Linked DNA regions of Schizosaccharomyces pombe. Changing the gene in region 1 together with any one later gene gives a genetic interaction. Each region holds a gene or a part of one and is shown in the gene's direction. Other genes may lie near its edges.

Region 1 (5,693 bases):
ATTCTTTTGGAAGTTCTTATCTTAACAAATTAGTTACTCTTTAAGAATTCTTTGGTGCTTTTAGCTGCTTGTTATTTCATGAATACGACCCCTTCAAGATTGGTCATAAATCTAATTCGTTCCGGTTACCTTATCTTAAAGCGATTCGCAAATCCGAGCTATATCTCATTTTATTAATTTTCTTTATGTTGTACATTATTATATCTATACCTCTTCTAATTTGAACCCCTTACTTTAATGTTGGCAACTCTACAGTCTTGACATAAATATACATGTTTCCGTACTTAACTGTCATCAAAATCTAGAAAAGACTCATGTTTTTGTTACTCTTACTTTTTCAAGTATTTTTTTTTCCGTTATGACATATTATTTTCTCTGTTTTTAAGGAAGTATGTACTATTGTAGTCGCGATTTTGGCGTTCGTTTGTACAGTATGGATTTTAGTTAAGTATATTTACAATTTAAGATTGACTGTAAAAACTACAAAAAGTTATAATTTTATATTAATTAACTTGAGTGAAGCCTTTGTCTGCACATATAATATATTTGTTTTGAAAACATATGAAATACTACGGAAAGTTAAGATACGCTAAACGAAATAACGATACTTAATATAATTAGCAGCATGATAGTAAAAGATTTGCCCGTGAGCATTCTTTGGGCTGTAGGGTCCCCCACTCCGCTGCGTTGGTATATGCGTAGACTGAAGCGAGCAACAGAACGTCCGCCATTACTGTGCATATACGATGAATCCAGAGTAGTAAGGATTTAGCATACTATTCAATACATCAGGAGCTAGAAATTAACAATTTATAGAGTATTTTCTTTCCAAAATTAAAGAATTCTTGTAAATTGGGCGATATAATTGCTAATCAATAGGTAATGAGTTTTTTTACCGTAAGAAGATGAATGCTAATATTAATAGATACGACTATCTCTTTAAGCTTTTACTTATTGGCGACTCTGGTGTCGGTAAGAGTTGCCTTCTTCTACGTTTTGCCGATGACACTTATACTGAATCCTATATCTCTACTATCGGAGTTGATTTTGTACGTCCGTTTTCAAGCAGCTTAACCATATTTATTGCTAACTTTTTTTAGAAAATCAGAACTTTTGAATTAGAGGGAAAGACTGTTAAACTTCAAATCGTAAGTGATAGTTTACTTCTCGTTGGCGTTCCGGGATATTTTTTTATTAACGATTTATCATAGTGGGATACCGCTGGTCAAGAACGTTTCCGTACAATTACTAGCTCATACTATCGTGGAGCTCATGGAATTATCATCGTATACGATGTTACCGATCAAGGTATGTAATGTGTGAAGTATGGAAAACCAATTTGATTGTCTTCCGTTTTCTGTATATGCGCGTATATGCGTTATAAGGCGTTTGGGGGATATTTTTATGGCGTTTTCTAGTCTTCACATTGTTTCCGACGCGGTTCCGAGGCTAATGCTTGCTTCTTAGATTCTTTCAACAATGTTAAGCAATGGCTTCAGGAAATAGATAGATATGCCGTTGAAGGAGTCAATCGTCTTCTTGTAGGAAACAAGTCAGATATGGTTGATAAGAAGGTTGTTGAATATTCTGTTGCTAAGGAGTTTGCTGACAGTTTGAATATTCCTTTCCTCGAAACGTCTGCTAAAGATTCTACAAATGTTGAGCAAGCTTTCTTAACTATGTCCCGTCAAATTAAGGAACGTATGGGAAATAATACATTTGCCTCTTCCAATGCCAAATCTAGTGTCAAGGTTGGTCAGGGCACTAACGTTTCCCAAAGTTCCAGCAACTGCTGCTAAACTACATGTTTGTTGGTTATACCTCTGAATGCGCTTTTAATATATTTTTATATACATACGTTTTACGTACTTCGCTGTCATTCCTTTTGTGAGTTTCATTCGCTGACGGTGAACTGCTAATATTAGGTATCTACTTTCTGAGTTTTTACGATACTTATAGAAAGTTATTTGTAGGTTTGGATGCATGCTACGTTTCCCTTTTATCAACGGTAGTTTAAAATCTTAAGCAAAGCTATGTAGAAAACTGCTAGTCTTATGTACTTTATTTTGTAGCGTGATATGATAAACTGTTGTAAACGTTGTATAATACGCGTATTGCTCATTAACTAGCACTTTACAGTATTCCCTAAAACTATAGTTGCTTGGAACTATTTGCATAACATACGGTTCGCTAACAAAAGTCATTAACTAAAAATCAAATATATAATAGTAAGTCAAAGGTTGAATGGTATGTACGTTACATTAAGAAATGAAAATACAACTGTACTACTAAGGACAAGTATTGATAACTGCGACACTAAAGTTTCTAATACAAGCAAAATATTAAGCACACACAGGGATCGGTGTAAGAAGGATTAGTAAACCAATCAGAGAAACCGACAGAATATGCATATCAAGTTCAGCAACATCAAATTTACTTTCCTCTTCCAATAACTTTTCTAATTAATAGATTAAAAAAATAAAGCACGCACTTGGTGTTGCGGTTTTAAATATTGCTATTGATTAACGGAAGAGTATATCTTCGACCTTGCATAAATATCCTAGCTATTGTTACACGCTTATATCTGCATTCTAATTTTATCGGAGATTTCTTTCTTTTATACCTCTATTTAATTGAGGTGGTAGTACTTTTAGTCGGTAATTTGAAATCCTTTGCGGGTTTATTCCCCCTCGAATATTTTTGAAGTTCTGGTATCCATTAACATTTCTCTACAATCCAATGTCTTCTCTAGCCTTAAAAATCGGAAGCTTGTTAGTAAGAACATTATCCAAACCGATTGCCAATACAATCAAAGCCCAAGCTAAAGAGCACAAGGCTTTCCGAAAGGTATAAATCAGTAAAATAGATGATAAAGAGAATCTTATAGCATTACTAACGAAATTTCTATATAGGCATGTATTGAATTTGCTCAATGGATGCATCGCGCGGAATTTAGAATAACAGGAATTAACAGAGCTAAAAGTGGAGGAGCTAATGTACGATTACGACCTTTAAACGATGCCAAAGCAGTCGATGCTGGTGCAACATTTTTATCAGAAACTTTTATATTGTATGAAAATTAATACGATTTGACGTACTTCCTCTCCACAATGCTTAATACGGCACATTGTGAAGGAGCTACGAAATCCAACTTGTCACAATGTTCTTCTCTTGCTAACAATTTACAGTACTGTTGCTGGAGGAGCCATTTTATTTGAAACATGGAGGGCTCGTAGAAAGGAAAAGAATAGACGAGATGAAGTTGCTGAAGCGATTCTTGGTTTACAACATGAAATCGTTCGTATTAACGAAATCATGGAAAAGCAGTTTGTTTTACAGAAGAAAAAGAATGAACTCCAATCTTCGACTGAGGAAATTGATAGTACCGAAAAGGATTTTGACGAACTCCACAAAGTCATTCTTAAAGTTGAACGTGAGCTCCATACTCTTCGTCAAAACACGCCAAGTCAGAACGAGCAAGCAGAAGCCACTCCTTCAAAGGAAATCCCACGTGAAACAGTCTCAGAAAAGGCAGATCATCCTCCATCTTCTAACACCAAATCGGTTTCTACAGGTTAGTGGATGGTGAATACTACGATTACACATAACTTGCATTAATGAGTAAATTTTGATACATTGCAGAAATTCATCTGTTCCCATTTCACCAAACTGATGTTTACTTTCTTTTAATTTATTGTACATTTGATACTTCGTTTAACCAGATCACATTTCCAAAATTAGTTACGGTTTATTTATAGCTTTTTTGACTTAATATCTACTGAGTTTTATCGCTCATTTTACAATACATTGCACTTCGTTATTTTAGATAGTTGGCTGTTAATATAATAATAGCCTAAGATTATGATCACCAACGTACGCCCCTTTCTGAGCGCGTGAAAGCTTCCCTTTGCGTTCACTTCCCCGCTGTGCTTGGTTTGTAAACTTAGCATCCTTTAGTTCAACTCAGCATGTCGCTGCTTCGTTGGATGGGAATGGTAATTCAATTGTTAGTTATGAATTGAAGACTGACAAACTATAGAATTCCCCAGGCTCCACTGACCGGCGTAAAAGCACTTGGGAAGCAGAGTTGCCGAAGCCATCAATTCGCCCTGAAACCCTAACAGATCGATTCTATGGTTTAACAAATGTAAGCATTTTTATTAGTTATAATTTCTTCTGCTCTAACATATTTTTAGTATGGAAATACATGGTATGGCGATCATACTTGTAGCGTTGCTTTTATGATTGTAAATTTCTAACGAAATAGTTACGTGAGTTCTGTCTTAGTATCTTTATACCATTTAAAGCCCTTTCGTGATTCTTTAAATTCGTATCCTCTTCCGAGTGCTCCTCCAAATTTTAAAAGCGTTTGTACAAAAACCAACCATCCTGAATCATCTTCCTCACGACACAGTAAGAAAAAGAGCATGGAGAATAGGAAGTCCTCTTTATACGGGTCCAATGGTATAAATTCTTGCGGCTGTGTCGATATTAGTAACGTCGGCTCTGAATCCGGGACGAAGCATCAAATCGTTGTAGGCGAAAGCAATTGTTCTGCTTATGGAATGAAAGAAAACATATATACTTGTTTAAAGGATCTTTATTGCTCCGTAAGTTGCTGTGATTGTCGTTATGGTATTTGTTCTCCCGAGCGTTTTATCCAAGTTCTACGTAGAGACAATGAAGCTTTTCGCAGTACTCAGCAGCAAGATGCTCACGAGTTTTTTAATTTTCTTCTTAATTCTGTTACAGAAACTCTTGATGAATACTACGGTAATCATTCCGACGTGATGCATCCAAAATGGGTTCATTCTTTGTTTGAAGGAACGCTTACCAGCGAGACGAAATGTTTAACTTGTGAAAACATAACGTCAAGGGATGAAAGCTTTTTAGACCTTAGCATAGATATAGAAAATCACACTTCTGTAACTTCCTGTTTAAGGTCTTTTTCTGCTTCAGAGATGTTGTCCTCCAAAAATAAGTTTCATTGTGATGTTTGCAAAAGTTTGCAGGAAGCAGAAAAAAGAATGAAGATAAAAAAATTACCGAAAATCCTCTCATTACATTTGAAACGTTTTAAATATAACGAAACCCAGGAGGGCCATGATAAACTCTTCTATACTATTGTTTTTACCAACGAAATGAGATTATTTACTACCACCGAAGATGCAGAGAATGCTGAAAGAATGTATTATCTTTCCTCTGTTATTGTTCACGTAGGAGGCGGTCCACATCGTGGTCATTATGTGTCTATCGTTCGCACTAAAACTTATGGCTGGGTCCTTTTTGATGACGAGAACGTAACTCCTGTCAACGAGAATTACCTACAACGATTTTTTGGTGATCAACCTGGTCAGGCTACTGCCTATGTTCTATTTTATACTGCTGCTGATGAAGAAGATGATGATGTTAGTGAAGTAGACACCAAGGAATCAATTAAGCCGATGTCTATTCCAAGTCAACTTAAACAAGAAAGCGTGGAAGTTTCGAATCTATCAAGTACCCCTAGATCAAACTCGACAATAACATATCCTGATATGGATCCGATGGTTGCTTCATTTTCTTCGCAGTATTCTCATAAAACTTTAGATAGAGACATCAATAGCCGTTCTTATTTTGATCGTGAACCATCACTGGATGCAGAAAGATTTCATTCAAGATCTGTTGATGCTTCTCCAAAAGCCGTACGTCGC
Region 2 (5,184 bases), 540 kb from region 1:
AGATCTCCTGGAAGGAAATAATATAATGACCAGAATTCCCGAGGAGCTTAGTCGTGTTAGTCTACAATTTGATAGCAAGGGAAGTCAGCAATCGATGATATTTACTAACAATCGATGTTTATCTGATAAAGAAAATTTGGAAAACTTGCAAAATCTTTTATATCTACATTGTGATCTTAACCGGCCCCATTTGAGTTGTGAGCTGCCGTCAGAGCATCGCGAAAAGTGCCTTAAACGCCGTAACTCTAGTCTCAGCTCTAATTTGCATGCTAATAAGCGGTTTCTCTTCAATTCTCAAAGTGATGGGAATAAAAAGAATGAAACTTTTCCTTCTACTAACTACTCGAACGTTTTCTACCCAAACAACTGTGACAGTAAGGAAGTCGCTAGTGAAACAACATTCTCACTTGATGCACCAAATAATTCTGTTAATTACTCTTATTTTTCTCCTAATTTACTCGGCAACGATTCCAAAACCCGTCAATCTTTTCCCCCTCATTCATCTTCATCTTCACATAATTCTTTGCATGAACCTGTCATATATGATTTTTCTTCAGAAAATCCTAGCATTCATCCTTCTAATCATTTGAGCTCTCAAAAAAATGCTGTTTTGAAATTAGCACAATTAATTTCTTCCTTCGAAAAATTACCCGAAAGTGTTCGTCAATACTTACTTTTTCATCTTCTTTCTCGATGTGGAAAACATGCTGTTCAAAATATTCACAAAATTCTGCTTCCTATCTTTCAAAAGAACTTTTTAACTGGATTTCCGGCTGAGATTACAAATTTAGTGCTTACGCATTTAGATGCACCTTCATTGTGTGCAGTTTCGCAAGTTTCGCATCACTGGTATAAGTTGGTATCGTCCAACGAAGAACTTTGGAAAAGTCTCTTTTTAAAAGATGGTTTCTTTTGGGATTCAATTGATAGTAAAATCCGTACGATGTGTTTAGAACAATCTTTGTCAGCCTGTGCGATAATGAAGCGGGTCTATTTTAGACATTTTAATCTTCGTGAAAGATGGCTCCATGCCCCGGAGAAAATTAAGCGATGTTCATTCCCAATTCATGGAGTTCGTCTTATTACCAAACTTCAGTTTGATGATGACAAAATAATTGTTAGCACCTGCAGTCCTAGAATTAATATATATGACACGAAAACAGGTGTCCTGATACGCAGTTTAGAAGAGCATGAAGGTGATGTTTGGACTTTTGAATACGTTGGGGATACTTTGGTTACTGGCTCCACAGACAGGACAGTAAGAGTCTGGGACCTTAGAACCGGTGAATGTAAACAGGTGTTTTATGGACACACGTCAACAATCCGTTGTATCAAAATAGTTCAAGGCAATCAAAGTACTACTGATACTGATGATGTGGAAAAAGAAAACAGACCAGCTTCAAATGATGCTAATTCAATGCCTCCGTATATAATTTCAAGTTCAAGGGATTGTACGATCCGTTTATGGAGTCTTCCATGCCTTGACGATCCACCATTTGTTAATGTAAATGAAAATCCTGATCAGAATAATGACTTTACTTCAGCTACGACCAATCCGTTTTACATCCGAACATTACGTGGTCATACGGACTCGGTACGTGAAGTTGCTTGTCTTGGAGATTTGATTGTCAGTGCCAGTTATGATGGTACTCTTAGAGTATGGAAGGCATCTACTGGCGTTTGTTTACATGTTCTTCGGGGACACGTCGGGAGAGTATACAGTGTCACAATTAATCCTTCTCGTCAACAATGTATCAGCGCTGGTACGGATGCTAAAATTCGTATTTGGAACCTTGAGTCTGGAGAACTTCTACAGACCCTTCATGGTCATTCGAATTTGGTAAGTCAAGTTACATTTAACCAAAATATCTTGGTATCCGCTTCTGCTCCTCCTGATACATCGTTGAGAGTTTGGGATCTAAACACCGGAAGTTGTCGAGATATTTTAAAATGTCCTTTGGGACACATATTTTTTCAACACGACGAGAGCAAAGTTGTCAGTGGAAGCCATAGTACGCTACAGTTATGGGACATTCGTTCCGGAAAGTTAGTAAGAGACCTATTGACTGATTTGGATATAATCTGGCAAGTTGCTTATAATGAAAATGTATGTGTGGCTGCTGTTTTAAGAAATAACCGTTTTTGGATCGAGGTCCTAGAGTTTGGATCTACTAAATCTTCTTGAGCTTTTATAAGTTGAGATACTAGAAATCTATAAAAGATCTCGAAATTTTATTTTACGTTTCCAAACTGAAATAGATTCATGCTATTTATTCTGGAAACTCCTCTATCATATAATATTTGTCTAATTGTTTGTTGACTTTTAAATGTTTACTCATAATTTTCTTTTTTAAATATCTAATAAGAATGCAAAATAATATTTTTTTAAATGATCTATTCTACATTTATAAATTATTTAGTGTTAAATTCGTTTGTTGAGGCCAAAATTTTTTTACCAAAGGGATAAGCGAATTTCTTGAATCCTTAGCTTCAAATAGCGTCCATTCTACCCAAAAGCGTACTATATTTTTATAATTAGCAAACTATAGTAAATAAAAAAACAAACATTTTAGCTTTGTAAATGTAAAAAGACATTTAATTTAACAAAAGGCTTTTACATTACTTCATAAGCTACCAAATGTCTTCATCGTAAAACATGCTTTTCGCATTCCATTTATCTATGTAAGCCATTTTAGTGTAGTTTAAAGTGTTGGAAAACCACAGGTGGGACTGTAATATACGTACACTTAAGACGCGTTCGACGCGTTCACAAAATTACCATATATAGATATCAACTTATCAAATACCCTTTACTTCTAAGTATAAATGACAAATGAATTCATACAAAGAGGAAATTCTGCAAACTAAGTCTGACTTTACTCTTAAAAATTTAATTTTCTTCGCGATATCAACATTATGCTATAAGCGGTACGCAGACATATAATTTTTAAATTAAAATAGCTAACAGAAGGCAAGTGCTCTTTTCAATGAAAACTGCTACAAGAAAGTCAATTTCGAAATTGAACATTTTAAAGGAGCTGACTTTGATTGTCAATTGAAACCTACTGTGGTTTCTTTACAAGCTGGAGTGGACAAAGAAGCAGACAGTTTTTTGGAAATGATGGTGAGTGTTTAAAACTTATCTAAAGAAATAAACTAATATTTTAGAAAACTTATATTTTCTCACTTGTATCAATGAAAGTTCCATTTACTGTTTACCTGATTATTTCGTCACAATGCAAGTCAATATTAGAGGATGACGCGGTTGAAAAGGAGATATTTTCATTTACAATTAACCCTGGAAGTGAAGAGAAAATATGTTGTGAGTCTTTTGTTTGTAAATTTTTTAACAGACTTCATGAGAGTTTTATCAAGCTTATCAACGTTCAGAAAGGTTTGTAATAAAGTTATTTTTAAGTGGTAACGTAAAAACAGAGTGCAAAGACGAAGAAAAAGTCGTACAAATTATTACAAAAATGGAACGCTTTCAATTATCAAAAGGAGAAGCAACTAAAGCTGGCGTGTTTTTAAATACCGTAGAAACAAAAGATTGCATGTCTTGGCTCAATCGAGGAGAATTCAAAGATATTGTATCTTTTTATGAATCAAACAATGGGTAAGTAAATTAAAACAAATTTCAAGTTACTAATCTATAGTATTGCGATTTCACATTGTTCTCATGCATTTGTACCGATAAGTACAGAGAAGATCATGATTAATAAAGAATCATCATTATTTGATTCTCAAGAAAAAATTGATTCTCAGCTCGAAAAGTTCCTCCAGCCTTTGAAATACGATGAAATAGGCTCAACTCAAATATTGGATGAACAATCAGTTGAAAAAAGTTTGAGTCAAGGAAAATGTGAGAAAATGCAGAATGAAAGTCGTGGATTAAGGGAAATAAAAAATAACAATCCTTGTGAAGAAGTAAAGAAAAGCAATTGGTTAAAAAAAAACATTTCAGGGAGTGACAAAGTTGACAAAGCCGAAAAGAAAAAAGCACTTTTGAATTGTGAATGCGGTGATTCGACGGAAGACTCAGAAATGGTGTGTAATCGTTTATACCTGCTAAAGACTAACAATATTTTACACAGTTTCAATGCGAAAGATGTGATGGATGGGTTCACTGTGCTTGCTATGGATTTGAGAGTGACTCTGATCCTCGCCAACCAAACCAATTGTTATGTTATACATGTTTGTTAGTTGATTCTGAATCTAGTTTGTATGACCGAATGACCATGTTGGTCGCATACAGACGAGCAATTCGGTGTATTTGGGCGTCAGAGTATCAAGGGTTCCAAAAGCTAGCGGCGCGACTGAGTAAGGAAATTTACCAACTCATTGACCATATACTAACATTATCTAAGATTGCAGCTATGCTGATGCCAAAAGAATTGAAGAAAGATTAGTTAACGAAAACATAATCTATAAGGAAAAAAAACGAAAATGGATATATTTTACGAATAAAAGCCCTGAAATGGTGTCATATCTTCGTGAGAAGTATTTTACACCGTCGCGATGGATATCTCATCTGAATTTTCAAAATTATCGTCAAGAGAATCAACGTGTAAATATGCGATCTTTTCTACGGCCCGAAAGAATGGAAGTAATAGAAAGACCAAAAAAGGTTTCTAAGACTTCAAACACTAAAGAGACAGACACCATGAAACCTCTGAGGATTTAAACTTATACGACTTATCCTATCTTCAAACAATTTGAGATGGATCAGTATTGCATCTATTTGCTCAAACTATTAATTTAAACTTACATAATATATTTATTATTAGCTATACTACATTATTACCATAAATAACATGTTCTGTTATCATCCGTTAGATATGAGACAATATTCATACAAACTCATTTTCTTGTCGTAGATAACTATGCTTACGACATTATAAATAGGCGGTAATTGAAATGAGGAATGAGGTTCAGTTATGAGCTTATACGAACATGAGATATGAATATAGACTTCATACAAGAATCATGCATACCACTATAAACTAGATCACAAGTAAATTTTATCGCAGTTCTACGCAGCGCTAAACGAATACGAAATTGCGTAGCTAATTTAAGCACTTCTTGAATTGCATTATGTGTGAATAGTGTGGTGATTTGATGTCAAAAAAAAAAAGTATAGAACGTTACACATTAGACTTGAACTTTTCCATTTGATACTGAAGT
Region 3 (7,023 bases), 500 kb from region 1:
ATTTTCATTTGTTTCGTTCACGGGCTTCCATTCCCACTCTCCTGCCCAGATTAATTTAGCTTCAATTTTTTCTCTAGTCCTAATATATAAAAAATTTTCTTTTAGCTCCATTAAGTCTACACCATCGCTAAATTCCTTTAGGACTGATGTATACTCAATAACTTGTTGATCATTGCCGGATACCATCCAAACTATACGTATAGTTGGTATTTCTATTTAATGGTTATAAATTTTTAACTTCAGCTGCACCTTAAATCGTTTGTTAGCAGATTCTTTTTGAGTATGTGTGCAAAGGTATTCGTTTGCGTTTGCGTCAAAGGGCTTGGTCAATTAGATGAGCCAACTGTGGTAAATTTTTATGTTAGGTTGATATCAATATGAACAGCAAATTTACTCTAAATGTGTACTTAAAGGCATAAGGAATATTTATACTATGTCATTAATCTTCTAGTACTAATCTTGGGCATTCGTTTCTTTTGGCATGGAAATTCGCTGTCGCGTTATCACAAGCCCTGGAGAACTAATTTCTTTGACCGCATTAGTTGTGTTGAGTGATTCCTCATCATTTTTGCCTATTTTTTTTAACTCTAAACTTTCATGCTCAGTGAATACATCATCGAAATCTTTTGCATCCTGGATGGATCGTTTAATTCTTTTATCGCGGATTTGCATGTAACTAACAATACAAGAGCTAACAAAGACTATTCCTCCTACCACCAGCAAACCAATTAATCCTTTTATAAATCGAGGCGTATCAGTATTGGGATACATTATAGGTGCCCACCAAATATGCCAGATATTCTGACACATATTCATCAAAAACACAACAACTCCTCTTTCCTGATCATTATCCCGGCAAATGTCATTTGCCCAAGAAAACCAAACTGCTTGTCCAGCATATGTACAACCAGAAGCGAAATAAGCAAAGAATTTTGCGCCATCTGGCACGTTCCATGCTAGAAGTATTGTAGCAGAAACAGTAGTAATTACGCACAGAAAAAGTCCAAAAGGCCATCTTGGGTTTCCAGCTAATTTATCAGAAATAACACTAGCACCTAACGTTGATACTACGCCAACAGCTGTAATCACAGTTGGGTAATTATTTATTTGGGCAACAGAAAATTTGTTGCTCCATTTCATCCACTGACCCATCAATACATTGACAGCTATAGCTTGTGTTTCTCCGCTAAAAATCCAAAGGATGCACAAACCGTAAATTCGCCATGAACGTACAATATCCTTTATCGCTTTTAGCGTTAATGGCTTCTTCTTGGGGCGAGCGGGTAGCCTTTTGAAACTTAATTCTTTTTCTTGTTCTGTAAAATAAGGAGCCTTGGTTGTTTCTGGAACGTCAGGAAACAGAAAGAGCCCATATAATGAAAGAGGAATCGTCAAAATGCCATCAATTATAAAAAGCCAACGCCAACCAGATAAACCACCTTTACCATTTAATGATGAATGAACTGCTGTTTGCAAATACCCAGCAAACATTGTGCCGACTAAACCAGAGGCTGAAAAAATTCCGGCACGTTTGCATAGTTCACTTTCTTTGTACCATGCGCCCAATATATAATGCGTACCAGCAAATGTAGATGCCTCCGCAACCGCCATGAAAAAGCGTAAAATCATCAATGCTCGAACGGAATGTACCGCAAATGAAAAAATCGTCATAAGTCCCCATAAAATATTCATAACCGAAAACCAAAGTCTTGCTGGTACTCTCTGTAATGCATAAGAACCTGGCAATTGTCCTATAATGTATCCACATGTAAAAACAACGTTTATATCTTGCAATTCATTACCATGCATTTTCAAATCCTCTTGCATACCACTAAGGTATGCATTGTTTATTGATGATCTATCCAAGTAATTAATAAAATATGAAACGCAACAGTAAGAAAGTATGAACCAATCTATTTTTATTAAAAGCTTTTGTTCAACTTTGTTTAATCCATAATAAGGGGAAAAGGTTTTTGCCAACCTATTTAGTAACGCCATTACGACTTGTCTCACTTATGAAATATTCACGACAATTTACAGAGGAGACCTAACTTAAATTTTTATGGCTTTAGAAAACGTACAATTTCAATGGATTCTCATGAAAAGTGCCTATATTAAAGTAAAGCCAGGGACCTAAGCAAGGAACAAACACTTCGAGTCAAAATCGAATTGCAGACTGTTGGAATATCAATATGCTCCAGCCAGGAAAATTTTTTCTTTAATTTTTCTGAAAAATCAAGATTATAAGTATCGATCGAGCCTTCTAAAAAGTGACAATATCAATGCCGGAAACCCAATCTTAATTTTTAGATGTGCGCTGATTACTCGGAATTGGCTAGCAAGTTGGATACTTATTCTCGACGTAGCCACAATGAGTACTATACTTTGCTGCTCTATTTGTGGAAATTAACTGTATTGCAAAAAACATCTAACCTTTCAATTAATAAGCATTCGGTTCAAGTGGCTACAATACAATAACCACTATTTGCGAGATTAAACATACTATTACAGTAACCAACACATTTGAAATGTAAAAAATTGCCATAGTTGAAGCTATTCAGCGTCAGCGAACATCTTCGGAGAGCTCAAATAATCTTAGCTCTTAAGATGGGGGTTTTTTCTGCCGAATACTGTATCTGTTTGACTTTTATTTTTAATACGTTGGAGTAACCGCTGTATTCTTGTGCAACTTGGTGTTTTTGAAATTAACAATGGCACTGTTGATGAACGAAAGTGAATTATAATACATTTTTTGACAGTACCAATCTTATGGAAGTGCCTTGAAATCCTGTTACGTTACGTTTTAGCAAGATCGCTTCTCTTATGATTTTCTTGTTTCAATGGTTTTCTACCCATAATCAATGAAATATGTTTACAAGGGTTACGAGTTTTGTAAAGCAAATGCACTTTAAAAATTGACCAGAAACTTCCATATATTAGAACCAAAATTTTTTGGAATACATTTTAACATAGTAAATTAAAATAAGCCGTTTACTTATTCTAATTTACAGAAGCGCTTCTATAATGTTTAAGTAACGAACGTTTTTGTCACCCAACACCACCCAACTTCGTATCCCAAGATTTATAACTTGTTCGGACAAACATCGTTGGTAAAGACTTGCATCGTTCATTACAGAACGAATTTTATTATTTATAGTTCACATTTGTGAATCTTAAGATGCAATGTCTGCTGAGGGAAAAGCCAAGATCCTTGGCCTTAGTCAATAAGGACCATGCTCTTATGTTTCATTCGGTTCCTCAGAACAAAAACTCTTTATCAGTATGTGTTGCAGAATTTACGGCATTGTCAGAAAAGCCGTTAGAAGGATTTCGAAAAATCTCCAGTCATCGAATTTATGGTACTCTAGGTCTGATTGAATTAGAAGGGTCCAATTTTTTGTGCGTGATTAGTGGAGCTAGTGAGGTAGCACGTGTGCGAGATAAAGAAAGAGTTTTTCGTATCATGGAGGTCTGCTTTTACAGTGTTAATCGTTCAAACTGGGATCACATTCGACAAGAAAATTACTCGCCTGATATTCCGGATGGTTACGATACCGATACCCAAGGCTATGATTCTTACAAGTATGCCGCTGAACCATTCAGTAGTCTCAGAAAGCTATTAACAAATGGATCATTTTACTTTTCTCTCGATTTTGACATTACTACCCGACTGCAACTTCGTACGTCTCAAACAATGACGGAGCCTCAATATGATAGCATGCATACTCAATTTATGTGGAACGAATTTATGCTTAGACAGTTGATCAAATTTCGCTCCCATTTGAATGGGGATGAAAAGAGTGCATTGGATGGATGTCGCTTCTTTACATGTGCCATCAGAGGTTTTGCGAGCACCGAACAATTTAAGTTAGGAATTCAGACTATTCGGCTTTCTTTAATATCTAGACTGTCTTCGCTTCGCGCTGGTACCCGATTCTTGTCACGTGGCGTAGATGATGATGGAAACGTTGCTAACTTTGTTGAGACGGAGACAATCCTCGATTCCTCTAAATACTGTGTAAGCTATTGTCAGGTCCGTGGCAGTATTCCAATTTTTTGGGAACAAGAAGGTGTTCAAATGTTTGGTCAAAAAATTGATATAACTCGCTCTTTAGAAGCAACTCGAGCTGCTTTTGAAAAACACTTTACCAGTCTTATTGAAGAATACGGACCAGTGCACATAATCAATCTTTTAGGGACAGGTTCGGGAGAACGCAGTTTATCTGAGCGTCTGAGACAGCATATTCAACTTTCTCCGGAAAAAGATTTAATACATTTAACGGAGTTTGACTATCATTCTCAAATTAGATCCTTTGAAGATGCCAATAAAATACGCCCAATGATTTATAGCGATGCAGAAACTTTCGGGTTTTATTTTGAGAACAACGAAGGACAATCCATTGTGGTACAAGATGGTGTTTTTCGCACCAATTGTTTGGATTGCTTAGACCGAACAAATGTTATTCAGAATCTTGTTTCAAGAGTGTTTTTAGAACAAGTTATGATATATACTCGGCAAAATGCTGGTTATGATTTTTGGCAAGTTCATTCAACGATTTGGGCAAATAATGGTGATGCCTTAGCTCGCATTTACACCGGAACAGGAGCACTTAAATCTAGTTTCACTAGAAAGGGAAAGTTAAGTATAGCGGGTGCACTTAATGATCTCTCTAAAAGCGTCGGCAGAATGTATATCAATAACTTTCAAGATAAGGGGCGACAAGAAACAATTGATTTGCTTCTTGGCAGATTAATTGACCAACATCCTGTTATTTTGTATGATCCAATTCATGAGTATGTTAACCATGAGCTGAGAAAAAGAGAAAACGAATTTTCTGAACATAAGAATGTCAAAATTTTTGTTGCTAGTTATAACTTGAATGGATGTTCTGCTACTACAAAGTTAGAAAACTGGTTATTTCCCGAAAACACACCTTTGGCAGACATCTATGTGGTTGGATTTCAAGAAATAGTGCAATTAACTCCGCAGCAAGTAATAAGTGCTGACCCAGCCAAACGTCGTGAATGGGAGTCATGTGTCAAACGCTTATTAAACGGTAAATGTACATCTGGACCTGGATATGTTCAATTACGTTCTGGACAACTGGTTGGTACAGCACTAATGATATTTTGTAAGGAGTCATGTTTGCCCAGTATCAAGAACGTGGAAGGAACGGTTAAGAAAACTGGTCTTGGTGGAGTTTCCGGAAACAAAGGTGCTGTTGCCATCCGATTTGATTACGAAGATACCGGTCTTTGTTTTATTACTTCTCATTTAGCAGCGGGTTACACAAATTACGATGAAAGAGATCATGACTATCGAACTATTGCTAGTGGATTAAGATTTAGGCGTGGTCGTTCCATATTCAATCACGATTATGTGGTATGGTTTGGTGACTTTAATTATCGTATTTCATTGACATATGAAGAAGTCGTACCTTGTATCGCGCAAGGGAAGTTAAGTTACCTTTTTGAATACGATCAATTAAATAAGCAGATGCTTACCGGAAAAGTCTTTCCGTTTTTTTCAGAGTTACCGATTACCTTTCCTCCTACGTACAAATTTGACATAGGAACAGACATATATGATACCTCGGATAAGCATAGAGTTCCTGCCTGGACCGATCGTATTTTATATCGTGGAGAATTAGTTCCCCATAGTTATCAATCTGTACCTTTGTACTACTCCGATCATAGACCCATTTATGCCACATATGAAGCAAACATTGTTAAAGTTGATAGAGAGAAGAAAAAAATACTGTTTGAAGAGCTTTATAATCAGAGAAAGCAGGAAGTTAGAGATGCTAGTCAGACTTCTTATACTCTGATTGATATTGCTGGGTCTGTTGCGGGTAAACCTAATTTAATTCCCCATCTTCCTGCCAATGGAGTTGACAAAATTAAGCAACCAAGTAGTGAACGTAGTAAGTGGTGGTTTGATGATGGTCTCCCTGCGAAGTCAATAGCTGCTCCTCCAGGCCCAGAATATAGGTTAAATCCGTCGCGTCCTATCAATCCCTTTGAGCCTACCGCAGAGCCCGACTGGATATCCAACACAAAACAATCATTTGATAAGAAATCGTCATTAATAGACAGTATCCCCGCATTAAGCCCGGCACCTTCTTCGTTGGCCAGAAGCAGTGTTAGTTCTCAACGCAGCTCAACCTCAATTATTCCCATTAAACCCAACAAGCCAACTAAACCAGATCATTTGGTTGCTCCAAGGGTAAAACCATTGCTTCCACCTCGGTCTGGTTCTTCCTCTTCTGGTGTACCGGCACCCAACTTGACACCCGTTAATGTTCCTCCCACTCCTCCTCCTCGCAAGTCTTCTGCTTCTCAACGAAGCGGTGATTTACTTGCTTCTTCACCTGAAGAAAGCAGTATTTCTTGGAAACCGCTTGTGTAATCTTTAAAATTCTCGTAATATACTTGGACGGCTTTAATTTTAGGTGCAAATACTTTTCTGCCATTTTTAAAAACATTTATCATTGCAATATATAAACACCGCCATTGCTCCAGATTACTTAAAAGGGCAATACGATGCCATGAAACATACACCATGTACATTATTAGAAATTCTTTACAAATATTTAAAAGAACTACTGCTTATGGGCGTCAACCTATGTTACTAATGCCGTAAATGTATAGATAGCTCAATTCAGTCAGCTAATCATAAAATTCACAGGTAAAAGATGGTATTTGAAGTTCTTCCAAGTGAAACGTTAAATTTTTAGAAACTGTAAATTACTCTGAAGCAAATTTCTTAAGGATTCTGGCAACGATATGCAACAAGAACACACTGGCAATGAAACCAACGCTTAATACCATCACTACAACGGGGTCACTTAATTAACGTTAGAAAAACCTTAATAATGATTGAGTTTAACGGCTTACACTTTAAATCCACTAGCCTCATCAGTGTATAATTTCAATAAGGTAGGGGTTGAACCAGGAGCGCCAGCAGCACGAGCTCCAGCAGGACCAGAGTTACTTTCTTTTGTGTTCTTTTCAACAGCAGCA

Evidence for each region.
Region 2: mutations in opa3 (region 1) and hop1 together harm fitness more than expected from each alone (negative genetic interaction), as found in Schizosaccharomyces pombe (2 studies listed by BioGRID).
Region 3: mutations in opa3 (region 1) and syj1 together harm fitness more than expected from each alone (negative genetic interaction), as found in Schizosaccharomyces pombe (2 studies listed by BioGRID).

What each region holds. Positions count from the first base shown.
Region 1 is NC_003423.3:2,932,243-2,937,935, forward strand, and holds opa3 (mitochondrial outer membrane lipid metabolism regulator Opa3), read left to right. Parts: upstream 1-2,448; 5' UTR 2,449-2,739; coding exon 2,740-2,847; exon of another isoform or gene 2,848-2,912; coding exon 2,913-3,070; exon of another isoform or gene 3,071-3,188; coding exon 3,189-3,579; 3' UTR 3,580-3,880; downstream 3,881-5,693. Other genes in the region: SPOM_SPBC1703.09 (uncharacterized protein), read left to right, coding at 34-177; GTPase Ypt1, read left to right, coding at 747-757, 926-1,049, 1,101-1,148, 1,212-1,308, 1,468-1,799; ubiquitin hydrolase Ubp9, read left to right, coding at 3,969-3,995, 4,040-4,147, 4,197-4,210, 4,268-5,693.
Region 2 is NC_003423.3:3,469,486-3,474,669, forward strand, and holds hop1 (synaptonemal complex-associated protein hop1), read left to right. Parts: upstream 1-2,833; coding exon 2,834-2,928; exon of another isoform or gene 2,929-2,976; coding exon 2,977-3,124; exon of another isoform or gene 3,125-3,168; coding exon 3,169-3,337; exon of another isoform or gene 3,338-3,375; coding exon 3,376-3,616; exon of another isoform or gene 3,617-3,656; coding exon 3,657-4,047; exon of another isoform or gene 4,048-4,094; coding exon 4,095-4,320; exon of another isoform or gene 4,321-4,367; coding exon 4,368-4,684; downstream 4,685-5,184. Other genes in the region: cullin 1 adaptor protein Pop1, read left to right, coding at 1-2,185. UniProt on the Schizosaccharomyces pombe protein: Facilitates initiation of meiotic recombination and DNA double-strand break (DSB) formation at DSB hotspot sites by enhancing the interaction between rec10 and rec15.
Region 3 is NC_003423.3:3,434,375-3,441,397, forward strand, and holds syj1 (inositol-1,4,5-trisphosphate 5-phosphatase 1), read left to right. Parts: upstream 1-3,095; 5' UTR 3,096-3,178; coding exon 3,179-6,409; 3' UTR 6,410-6,523; downstream 6,524-7,023. Other genes in the region: SPOM_SPBC4B4.12C (uncharacterized protein), read right to left, coding at 1-186; plasma membrane pantothenate transmembrane transporter Liz1, read right to left, coding at 454-1,998; translocon beta subunit Sbh1, read right to left, coding at 6,748-6,847, 6,898-7,023. UniProt on the Schizosaccharomyces pombe protein: Controls the cellular levels and subcellular distribution of phosphatidylinositol 3-phosphate and phosphatidylinositol 4,5-bisphosphate. Involved in distinct membrane trafficking and signal transduction pathways.